Linked DNA regions of Callithrix jacchus. The protein of the gene in region 3 interacts with the protein of the main gene of each other region in a pairwise test. Links are inferred from orthologs where the notes say so. Each region holds a gene or a part of one and is shown on either strand. Other genes may lie near its edges. The genes, in order: NFKBIE, KEAP1 and RELA.

Region 1 (2,573 bases), on a different chromosome or scaffold from region 3:
CTGCTCCCCTAGGCTGGTCCACCTGGCAGTGATTCACGAGGCCCCAGCAGTGCTGCTCTGTTGCCTGGCTTTGCTGCCCCAGGAGGTCCTGGACATTCAAAACAACCTTTACCAGGTTGGTGACGAGAATGGGTTGTGCCCAGATACCTGTTTGTGCCCTGACAGCCATCCCCAGCAGCCACGCTAGTCCATAGGCCGCTCACTGAGAAAACCATATGCCAGACACTGAGCTAGAAGCTGAAGAGACAAACACAAGTAAGACACAGCCTCTCCCTAAGGTGCTTGCAGCCTGGGCTGGGGGACTCGTGTCAACAGCTAAATACACAGCCTGGTGACAAGAGCTGTGATAGAGACACACACCAGCTGCTATGGGGTCCACCGTCCATGTGTAGCAGCCAGGGAAGGCTTACAGAGGAGGTGACATCTGAATGGAGCCTTTGCAGAGACGTTTGCCAGGGAAAGACTGCCTGGTGCCTCTATCTTTCCTCCAACATAACCCCTGCAGCCTAAGGCCTGGGGATAAGAGAAGTCTCCCCACAGGATGAGAGGCTAGACTCTGTCCCTACATATCCTTTCTCCAGGGCCTATGGTGACTTACAAGAAAAGCAGAGAGCTACTTTCTTCACCTTGCTTCCAGAATTGGGGTCCCAAGAGATTGGTGGGACTCAGGCGTGACAGGAGAAGGGCTTGGTAGTATTTCCTTGGAAGCCCAGGCTATGACCTTTATAAGTGGCTTTCAAAGAAGACGCTGGCAGCTAGTGATTCTGGAGCCCAAGCTTGTTCCCAGAGGTGGGAGCATGCTGCAGTGGCCCCATGACCCTCTATTTGTGCCTCCAGACAGCACTCCATCTGGCTGTACATCTGGACCAACCGGGTGCAGTTCGGGCACTGGTGCTGAAGGGGGCCAGCCGGGCACTACAGGACCGGCATGGTGACACAGCCCTGCATGTGGCCTGCCAGCGCCAGCACCTCGCCTGTGCCCGCTGCCTGCTGGAGGGGCGGCCAGAGCCAGGCAGAGGACCATCTCACTCTCTGGACCTCCAGCTGCAAAACTGGCAAGGTGTGGACAGTCTTAGGGCCTGTGGGAGGAGGAGGGCATAGGAGATAGGGCTCCCATTCTTGGGGAAGGGAGGGTCCCAGCTTGTCCATTGGTGCCCCTCCCACTGTAAGCACATAGATATACAGCACATCTTTGCTAAATGAATGAATGGATGAGTTAGAATTTACCCAGTACCTACTGCGTGCTGAGCAGAAAACTAAATCTTGCTTTTAAGGTACTTAGTTTAACAGAGATCAGATGACCCGATTCATTCATTCAACAGAAACATGCCGAGGGTTTTCTGTGTGCCAGACATTATCCTAGGAACTATGCTTGCGTCTGTGTGCAAAACAGAGAAAGATTGAGACAAGCAATAAATACAAGAAGTGAACTATGTAATAAGTTAAAAGGAAGCAAGTGCTGTAGTGAAAAGTAGAGCAGTGAGGGGAAGGAATGTGGGGAACAGGAGAGTTGATAGGATTGTTAAATAGAGTGGTCAGGGAAGGCCTCATGGAGCCAGGGACATCCGCACAGGGACTTGAGGGAGGTGAAGAATGTAAGTTTGAATCAAAATCTCTATTACTAAGCAAGGGTCAGGAAGTGTCCAAGTGTCCAGACCAGAAAGGGGACAGCAAAAAGGCCAGGAGAACACACAGAAGGAAGTGGCCCCTGAGAAAGGGCTGGGGTCATGAGGATCCTAGATGGCTTTTCAGAAAAGATGGCTTTCAGACTGGGCTTGAAGGCAGGTGTGTGTGTGTGTGTGTGTGTGTGTGTTTTGTGTATAGGAGGAGGGTGTTTTTTTGGCATGTCACTCAGCAACTTGACTCCTGAAGCATGAAAGTTTCAATAACATGACTCTGAAAAGGTGGAAACTTTGAGTTCCTTTCCCCTTAAATTTTTGAGGGGGTTTTGGGGTTTGCATTTTAACAGTCTTGTGATTAGAGACATTGAGTGGGCAGTGAGTCCCTTGGGGCTGAATGGCTGGAAGGTCCCGGAAGAGAGGGAGTTGGTGGATGCAGATCAGCAGCCCTCACCCTCACCCCATCCCAGGTCTGGCTTGTCTCCACATCGCCACCCTGCAGAAGAACCAACCACTCATGGAACTGCTGCTTCAAAATGGAGCCGACATTGATGTGCAGGTGAGGCAGCCATCAGCACACTGCCTGGCACAGGGCCTTCCCCCCACCTGACTCTGCCCCCCACCTGACCCAGCCCCAAGCCCCCTGCCCAGCGGTCAGAAGTGGTAGCATTTACCTCCTTATCCAGAGCCTGGGCCCAGCACACTGCCTCTGAAGGCCTTGGCTGATATCCTTATTTCTTCCCAGGAGGGCACCAGTGGGAAGACAGCGCTGCACCTGGCTGTGGAAACCCAAGAGCGGGGCCTGGTACAGTTCCTGCTCCAGGCTGGTGCCCAGGTGGATGCCCGCATGCTGAACGGGTGCACACCCCTGCACCTGGCAGCTGGCCGGGGCCTCATGGGCATCTCATCCACTCTGTGCAAGGCGGGTGCTGACTCCCTGCTGCGGAACGTGGA
Region 2 (3,648 bases), on a different chromosome or scaffold from region 3:
CCCCAACCCCTGCCCCCTACCCTGTGCTGTCTCCCCTCCAGGCCCCTGAGTACCAGAGGTGGTGGTGTTGCTTATCTGCTGGAACCCCATGCAGCCAGAACCCAGGCCTAGCGGAGCTGGGGCCTGCAGCAGATTCCTGCCCCTGCGGTCAGAGTGCCCCGACGGGGGAGGGGACGCAGTGATGTACGCCTCCACGGAGTGCAAGGCGGAGGTGACGCCCTCCCAGCACGGCAACCGCACCTTCAGCTACACCCTGGAGGATCATACCAAGCAGGCCTTTGGCATCATGAATGAGCTGCGGCTCAGCCAGCAGCTGTGTGACGTCACCCTGCAGGTCAAGTACCAGGACACGCCAGCCGCTCAGTTCATGGCTCACAAGGTGGTGCTGGCCTCTTCTAGCCCTGTCTTCAAGGCCATGTTCACCAATGGGCTGCGGGAGCAGGGCATGGAGGTGGTGTCCATCGAGGGCATCCACCCCAAGGTCATGGAGCGCCTCATCGAATTCGCCTACACAGCCTCCATCTCCATGGGCGAGAAATGTGTCCTCCACGTCATGAACGGTGCTGTCATGTACCAGATCGACAGCGTTGTCCGTGCCTGTAGTGACTTCCTGGTGCAGCAGCTGGACCCCAGCAATGCCATCGGCATCGCCAACTTCGCTGAGCAGATTGGCTGTGTGGAGTTGCACCAGCGTGCCCGGGAGTACATCTACATGCATTTCGGGGAGGTGAGCGGGGGACGGGGCTGGCGGTAGTGTCAGGTGAAGGACCAGGGATGGAGGAGTGCTCATCACAGTCTCCCATCTTGAGATGTGAAAGGTCACTGTCTCCCATTGAGATATGAAGGCAGGAAACTGGAGAAAAAGGAGGTTCTGGGCTGGGCATGGTGGCTCACGTTTGCAGTCCCCACACTTTGGGAGGCCGAGGTGGGAGGATCGCTTGAGGCCAAGAGTTCAAGACCAGCTTGGGCAACATAATGAGACCCTGTCTGTAAACAAACAAACAAACAAGAAACAACAGGGGCTGGGCATGGTGGCTCACGTTTGCAGTCCCACTTTGGGAGGCCAAGGCAGGTAGATCACCTGAGGTCAGGAGTTCAAGACCAGCCTGGCCAACATGGTGAAAACCCATCTCTGCTGAAAATACAAAAATTAGTTGGGCATGGTGGTGCACCTGTAGTCCCAGCTGCTTGGGAGGCTGAGGCAGGAGAATCTCTTGAACCTGGGAGGCGGAGGTTGCAGTGAGCCGACATCGAGCCGCAACACTCCAGTCTGGGTGACAGAGCAAGACTCAGTCTCAAAAAAAAAAAATTTAAAAAACAACTGGAGTTCTGAGTTGTCTACACATGTAGGGAGACTTGTGAACAGCTGGGGGAGGTGAGGTCTTCTTGGGTCTCTGGGCTCCCTGGTTTCTTTGGGGTCAAAGGTGGGGACAGAATGCAGTGAAAAGCAGCCAAATCCTGGGGCAGCCCAGCCTTTTGGGCAGTCAGCAAATGTTTATCAGACACCCATAACAGGCTGCAAGTCTGAACCTTAGTCTTGTTTTTTTTGGTGCACGAAATTTCCTTACACTGTTTTTGGTTTCATTTTCATTTCTCAGTGAAGGAAATTATCTATAGAAATTGACAAGAAAGGGCCAGGTGCTGTGGCTCAGGTCTGTAATCCCAGCACTTTGGGAAGCTGAAGCAAGCGGATCACTTGAGGTCAGGAATTTGAGGCCACCCTGACCAACATGGTTATACCCCGTCTTGGCCAGGCACCGTGGCTCACACCTGTAATCTCAGCACTTTGGGAGGCCGAGGCAGGTGGATCACCTGAGGTCAGGAGTTTGAGACCAGCCTGACCAATGTGGTGAAACCCCATCTCTTACCAAAAATACAAAAAAAGGAAAATTAGCCAGGCATGCTGGCATTTGACTGTAGTCCCTGCTACTTGGGAAGTTGAGACAGGAGAATCCTTTGAACCTGGGAGGTGGACATTGCAGTGAGCCAAGATCGCACCATTGCACCCAAGCCTGGGTGACAGCGAGATTCCGTCTCAAAAAAATAAAAATAAAAATAAACTCAGAAAAAATAAGTAACATATTCTTTTTATTTTATTTTATTTTATTTTTTAAAGATGGGGTTTCACCATGATGGCCAGGCTGGTCTTGAACTCCTGACCTCAGGTGATCTGCCCACCTTGGCCTCCCAAAGTGCTTGGATTACAGGCTGGATTACCGCATCCAGCCCTATAAGTAACACATTCTTAAAGTTCAAAAACCAAGTCAGTTATGGTGATGCACACCTGTAATCCCAGCTACTCAGGAGGCTGAGGTAGGAGAATCATTTGAGCTTAAGAGTTCGAGACCAGCCCGGGCAACAAAGTGAGATCCCACATCAAAAAACGACAAGGCTGGGTGCGGTGGCTCCTGTCTGTAATCTCAGCAATTTGGGAGGTCAAGGCAGGTGGATCACTTGAGGTCAGGAGTTCAAGACCAGCCTGGCCAACATGGTGAAACCCCATCTCTACCATAAAAATACAAAAATTAGCTGGGTGTGGTAGCACACACCTGTAGTCCCAGTGACTCGGAAGGCTGAGGTGAGAAGATCGTTTGAGCCCAGAAATTTGAGGCTGCAGTGAGCTATAATCGTGCCACTGCACTCCAACCTGAGCAACAAAGCAAAACCCTGTCTTAAAAGCAAAAACAGGTCGGGTGTGGTAGCTCACACACCTGTAACCCCAGCACTGTGGGAGGCTGAGATGGGCAGATCATGTAAGATCAAGAGTTTGAGACAAGCTTGGCCAACATGGAGAAACCTCATCTGTACTAACAATACAAAAATTCCAGCCTGACCAACATAGTGAAACCCCCTCTCTACTAAAAATAAATACAAGGCTGGGTGCAATGGCTCAGGCCTGTAATCCCAGCACTTTGGGAGGCCAAGGCGGGAGGATCACCTGAAATTAGGAGCTTGAAACCAGCCTGGCCAACATGGAGAAACCCCATATCTATTAAAAATACAAAAAAATTAGCCAGGCATGATGGCAGGTGCCTGTAATCCCAGCTACTGGGGAGGCTGAGGCAGGAGAATCACTTGAACCTGGGAGGCAGAGTTTGCAGTGAGCCGAGATTGCGCCACTGGACTTCAGTCTGGGTGACAGAGTGAGACTCTGTCTCAAAATAAATAAATACAAAAAAATTATCTGAGTGTGGTGGCACACTCCTGTAATCCTAGCTACTTGGGAGACTGAGGCAGGAGAATTGCTTGAACCCGGGAGGCAAAGGTTGCAGTGAACCAAGATTTCACCACTGCACTCCAGCTTGGGCAACAGAGCGAGACTCTGTATCAAAAAAAAAGGAAAAGAAAAAGAAAGAAATAAAATTAGCTGGGCATATTGGTGGGCGCCTGTAATCTCAGCTACTCAGGTGGGTGAGGTGGGAGAATAACTTGAACCTGGGAAGCGGAGGTTGCAGTGAGCCGAGATAGTGCCACTGCACTGCAGCCTGGGTGACTGAGACTCCATCTCAAAAAACAAACAAAACCAAAAAACAAATGATACTGCAGGGTATACCATCTATTGAGTCTTTGCCCATTTCCCTGAGTCCTGATGACATGCCTGGCATGTAGCATTAACTCATTTAATGGTTACAATGTATGCGGTTCCTA
Region 3 (4,343 bases):
ACAGAGGGTATGGGTGCGGCAGGCAGGTTCACCCTTACCTTGGAAGGGGTTGTTGTTGGTCTGGATGCGCTGATTGATAGCCTGCTCCAGATCTCGCTTCTTCACACACTGGATTCCCAGGTTCTGGAAACTGAACACCCCCACTCACCTGTCTCTTGCAGAGCTGGGACCTTCCTGCCTTGCCCAGCCTGCTCCTTCCTCCCCTGCCCACCCGCAGATCATCGCTCCATACCTAACCCCCTCCAGTGGCTTCCCACTATGCTGCAACGAACCCTGTCCCTCCCCTCCGCTGACAAGCACCTCTGCGCCCCCGCCCCTGCCAGCCTCCCTTTGGGCCATCTGCTTACCACCATAGGGGCTTCCTTTCCCTTCTCTAACACAAGACACTCATTCCCACTTCAAGGTCTTAGCACTTGTTTGGTCTGCTTGGAATGTTCTTTTTCCTACTTTTCTCCTCCTCCTCACCATTCAAGCAGTAGCAGAGGGAGGCCTTCCCTGACCTCCCAATCTAGTCATTACACTAGCTCCCCTCACTCCCCGACCCCAGGTTATCCTTTCATCCTATGACCTTGTTTTATTTTCAGCACTGAAAGTATTACTCTGACAGTACCTTGTTTACTTATCTGTGTATTTATTCATATTTTATTTGTTTATGTATTTTTAGACAGAGTCTCACTCTGTTGCCCAGGCTGGAGTGCAATGGCTCAATCTTGGCTCACTGCAACCTCCGCCTCCCAGGTTCAAGCCAATCTCCTGCCTCAGTTTCCCAAGTAGCTGGGATTACAGGTGTGCACCACCACACCCGGCTAAGTTTTTGTATTTAGTAGAGCCAGGGTTTCACCATGTTGGTCAGGCTGGTCTCGAACTCCTGATCTCAGATGATCCGCCAACCTCAACCTCGCAAAGTGCTGGGATTACAGGCATGAGCCACTGTGCCAGGCTATTTACTTGGGTGTCACTCTGTCACTCAGACTTCAATGCTGTGACATGATCACAGCTTGCTGCAGCAAGGACCTCCTTGGCTCAGGTGGTCCTCCCACCTCAGCCTCCCACCTCAGGTAGTCCTCCCACCTCAGCCGGTCCTCCCACCTCAGCCTCCCACCTCAGGTGGTCCTCCCACCTCAGCCTCCCAAGTAGCTGGGACTATAGGAACATGACACTATACCTGGCTAATTTATTTTTTTGTAGAGATAAGGTCTCATTATGTTGCCTTAGCTAGTCTTGAACTCCTACGCTCAAGAGATCTTCCTGCCTTCATCTCCCAAAGTGCTAGGATTATAGGCATGAGCCACTACGCCTGGCCTGTATATTTTTTTTATAGTCTGTCTCTGTCAACTGTAATGTCAACTCCGGGGAGAGTACTGGTTCAATGGTTTTCTTTCTCAAACAAGAGACATGACTCTGACGGACTACCCCTTCCAGCTACAGGGTCAGGGATTCAGAAGTGATTAGGGACCCATCCCTATCCCCTAGAGCTCCTATCTGCTAGAGTAGAGGTATAAATGATAATTTTAAAACAAAGGGAGTTTACTTGCAGAACTATGTCAGAGCAAGGAGTGAGAAATTGTCCTGTGTCCAGAAAGGAGTAACACTGTAGCGTCTACCTCACAGCCCGCATCCTGTCCCCTCAGGCTGGGCCTCCTAGACTGCAGGGAGCTCACCTGTGGATGCAGCGGTCCGGGCAGAGCTCAGCCTCGTAGAAGCCATCCCGGCAGTCTTTTCCTACAAGCTCATGGGGGTGAGGCCGGTGAGGAGGGTCCTTGGTGACCAGGGAGATGCGTACTGTCCCTGGCCCTGTGTAGCCATTGATCTGTCCAAAGTACAGAGAAGCCCAGACATCCAAACCTGACTCCCAAACAGAGGGCTGGGGCTCGCAGTCCCTACCCCGCACTCCCCGGCTCAATGCTGACCTTGATGGTGGGGTGCGTCTTGGTGGTATCTGTGCTCCTCTCGCCAGGGATGCTGCCCGCGGAGCGTCCCTCGCACTTGTAGCGGAAGCGCATGCCCCGCTGCTTGGGCTGCTCAATGATCTCCACATAGGGGCCAGAGGCCTGGGCTGGCTCTGCCAGGGGACACCGCAGACCCATTAGGTGGCTGCCCCCGCTGCCCTACCCCAGGGAGCACCTCCCCGACCACCGCGGGGGCCACTTACCTGCCGGGAAGATGAGGGGGAACAACTCTGAAAGGGGAGAGAGATCAGGGTCAGCACACACCCACTGCCCATCCTCACCGGGGGAATCTGCTCCCCACGAAGAGAAGCCAGGCTCCCTCCCAGGGGAACGGAGTCAGGACCCGTTCCCTAGAACAGGCGGTGAAACTAAAGGGTGGGGAGAAGGAGCCAGAAACACCTGCTTCTTGAGAGAAAACGGGGTAAGGAATCCTTCCTCTCCCGAGGGCAACTGAATTAGTTTTCCTTTCATAAGGAAAACTGGGGGAGGGCACGCCCCACCTCCGTCCAGAGAGGAAACTGAATCAGATGCGTTCTTCCCTAACAAGGAAACGAAGCCAGAGCTGCCCCCATAGACAGTGGGGGGGAAACTGAGTCAAGGCTCCCTCCGCTGTCCCACCCAGGGAGGATACTGAGTTAAGGCCCTCCCCTCCACCCAGAGGGGAAACTGAGTCAGATCCCTCCCCGCTTGCCCCGCCCCGCGCCACCATCCAGCAGGCAGGCCGCTCCCTGCGCAGCGCCCATCAGCGCAAGAAGGGGCGGAAAGCGGCGCGGGGGCTCCCGCCACAGCCCCGGCGGCCCCGGCGCGGCCACCCCGCGGGGTCAGAGGGCGACCTCACCGTCCATGGCCGGGGTCCCGGGGGCGGGGCCGGGGTCGCAGCTGGGCCCGCGGCGGGCGCTACAGCCTAGCCATTCGCCAGAAGCGGAAATGCGCCGCGCGCGCCCGCCGTCGCGTCACTGCCAGGAATCCGGCCGCGCCTGCGTGCTGCACCGCGGCGGCCCGGCGCAGGGGCCGAGAGCAAGTGCGCGCCGCGCGGAGGACGAAGAGGCCGCGCGCACAGCCGCCGCAGGGGGCCGGGGCCAAGTGCGCGCCTCGCGGGGGACGAAGAGGCTGGCGCGGCAGGCTGCTGGGCTAGTTTCCGAGTCCCGGCCCCACCTGGAGGGCGTGTCCGTCGATTACTCACTTTATTTTTAGGGGATTTCGGGGCCCCTTCCCGCGATCGGTGGAGTTGGTGATGTCACTCTGGGCCGGGTCTAGAGCTAAGCCAGGGCTGCTGGGCTGCGGCCACCCGTCCCGCGCAGGGAAAGGCCAAGCCTGGCCTTCTGCGCCCGCAAAGGCCAGGTGGTTGAAGTCTACGCGGGTTTCCTGATCGCTAAAGGCGCCTTTCGGTGGTGACTGTCTCAGAAGCACGTTAAAATGTCCTAGCCACCCCAATCTAGATGCGGCTCTGGGGAAGGGGAGCGGCCGGGCCTCCTCGCCTGACAGTATAGACTAGCTCTGCAGAGCCTGCAGCCCGGATGGGACGACCGAGGCCCTCCCGCCGGCGAGCTGGCCGAGGGCTCGCCCCTCTCACGCTAAAGAGCCAGCTTAAGATGCAGCCGAACTGCATTTTAGACCCTGAGCGACCGTGGGAGCAGGAGGAGCCCGGGGGTAAACCCCGGAGCCTTGTCTCCGCAGCCTGGCGCTTGTCTCAGAAGGTCCGGGACCCCCAGGGGACACTTGAATCAGCAGAGTCACGACGCCCCCGCCCACCCCTGCGTTTGCCCTGGACCTCTAGCTAGGGCTGACCACTAATTCTGTCATGTGACCCCCACAGTGCCGGTATCGCCCCCAAGACCAAACCGCGTACGTGTCGGGGCTGGGGCTGGCGCACCCCCACCCCACACCTCCTCCCCGAAAGAGGATGCTCCACTGCAGGGGGCGGAGTCTTCTCCAGATGGAGAAAGACTTTATTTTTTCTCTGAATTCGTCTTAAATTAGGAAATCATGTGGGAATTGGAAAAGATTGGAAATTCTGACTTGTTTCCCAGGCTCTGAAGAAACAGGAAGAGAAAAGTGAAAATAGAGTTAGCACCCCGCCCACTCATTTCAGTTTCTCCAGTGGCTGGCCCTGATTAGAAAAGTGTTTACTTTTGTTAGGGGGCGGGGGAGGCAGACTTCAGGTGGCAGAATGGATTAATCAAAATCTTTGGTTAATGACATAAAATTATCATTGAATCTTGCATGGATCCTCTTCTTAAAATTCATGTATGTTTATAACTTTTAAATTAATGCTATAAACACCCGTGTACCCACTGCAAAACTCAAGGGGCCACCACCATCCAGAATTCTGTATTTTCTTTTCTTTTTTTTTTTTTTGAGACAGGGTCTAGCTCTGTCACCCAGGCTGGAGTG

What was found.
Region 1: the proteins of RELA (region 3) and NFKBIE interact in binary tests that used the Homo sapiens proteins (3 or more experiments, as listed by UniProt). The link is inferred for Callithrix jacchus from reciprocal best matches to the Homo sapiens genes RELA and NFKBIE.
Region 2: the proteins of RELA (region 3) and KEAP1 interact in binary tests that used the Homo sapiens proteins (3 or more experiments, as listed by UniProt). The link is inferred for Callithrix jacchus from reciprocal best matches to the Homo sapiens genes RELA and KEAP1.

Annotation. Positions count from the first base shown.
Region 1 is NC_133505.1:52,725,608-52,728,180, reverse strand, and holds part of NFKBIE (NF-kappa-B inhibitor epsilon), read left to right. Parts: intron 1-12; coding exon 13-115; intron 116-837; coding exon 838-1,060; intron 1,061-2,089; coding exon 2,090-2,178; intron 2,179-2,364; coding exon 2,365-2,573. UniProt on the Homo sapiens protein: Sequesters NF-kappa-B transcription factor complexes in the cytoplasm, thereby inhibiting their activity. Sequestered complexes include NFKB1-RELA (p50-p65) and NFKB1-REL (p50-c-Rel) complexes.
Region 2 is NC_133523.1:9,678,766-9,682,413, reverse strand, and holds part of KEAP1 (kelch-like ECH-associated protein 1), read left to right. Parts: intron 1-41; 5' UTR 42-88; coding exon 89-727; intron 728-3,648. UniProt on the Homo sapiens protein: Substrate-specific adapter of a BCR (BTB-CUL3-RBX1) E3 ubiquitin ligase complex that regulates the response to oxidative stress by targeting NFE2L2/NRF2 for ubiquitination.
Region 3 is NC_133511.1:122,752,061-122,756,403, forward strand, and holds the start of RELA (transcription factor p65), read right to left. Parts: upstream 2,881-4,343; 5' UTR 2,795-2,880; coding exon of another isoform or gene 2,788-2,794; 5' UTR 2,693-2,787; coding exon 2,656-2,692; intron 2,180-2,655; coding exon 2,153-2,179; intron 2,063-2,152; coding exon 1,911-2,062; intron 1,811-1,910; coding exon 1,662-1,810; intron 131-1,661; coding exon 39-130; intron 1-38. UniProt on the Homo sapiens protein: NF-kappa-B is a pleiotropic transcription factor present in almost all cell types and is the endpoint of a series of signal transduction events that are initiated by a vast array of stimuli related to many biological processes such as inflammation, immunity, differentiation, cell growth, tumorigenesis and apoptosis.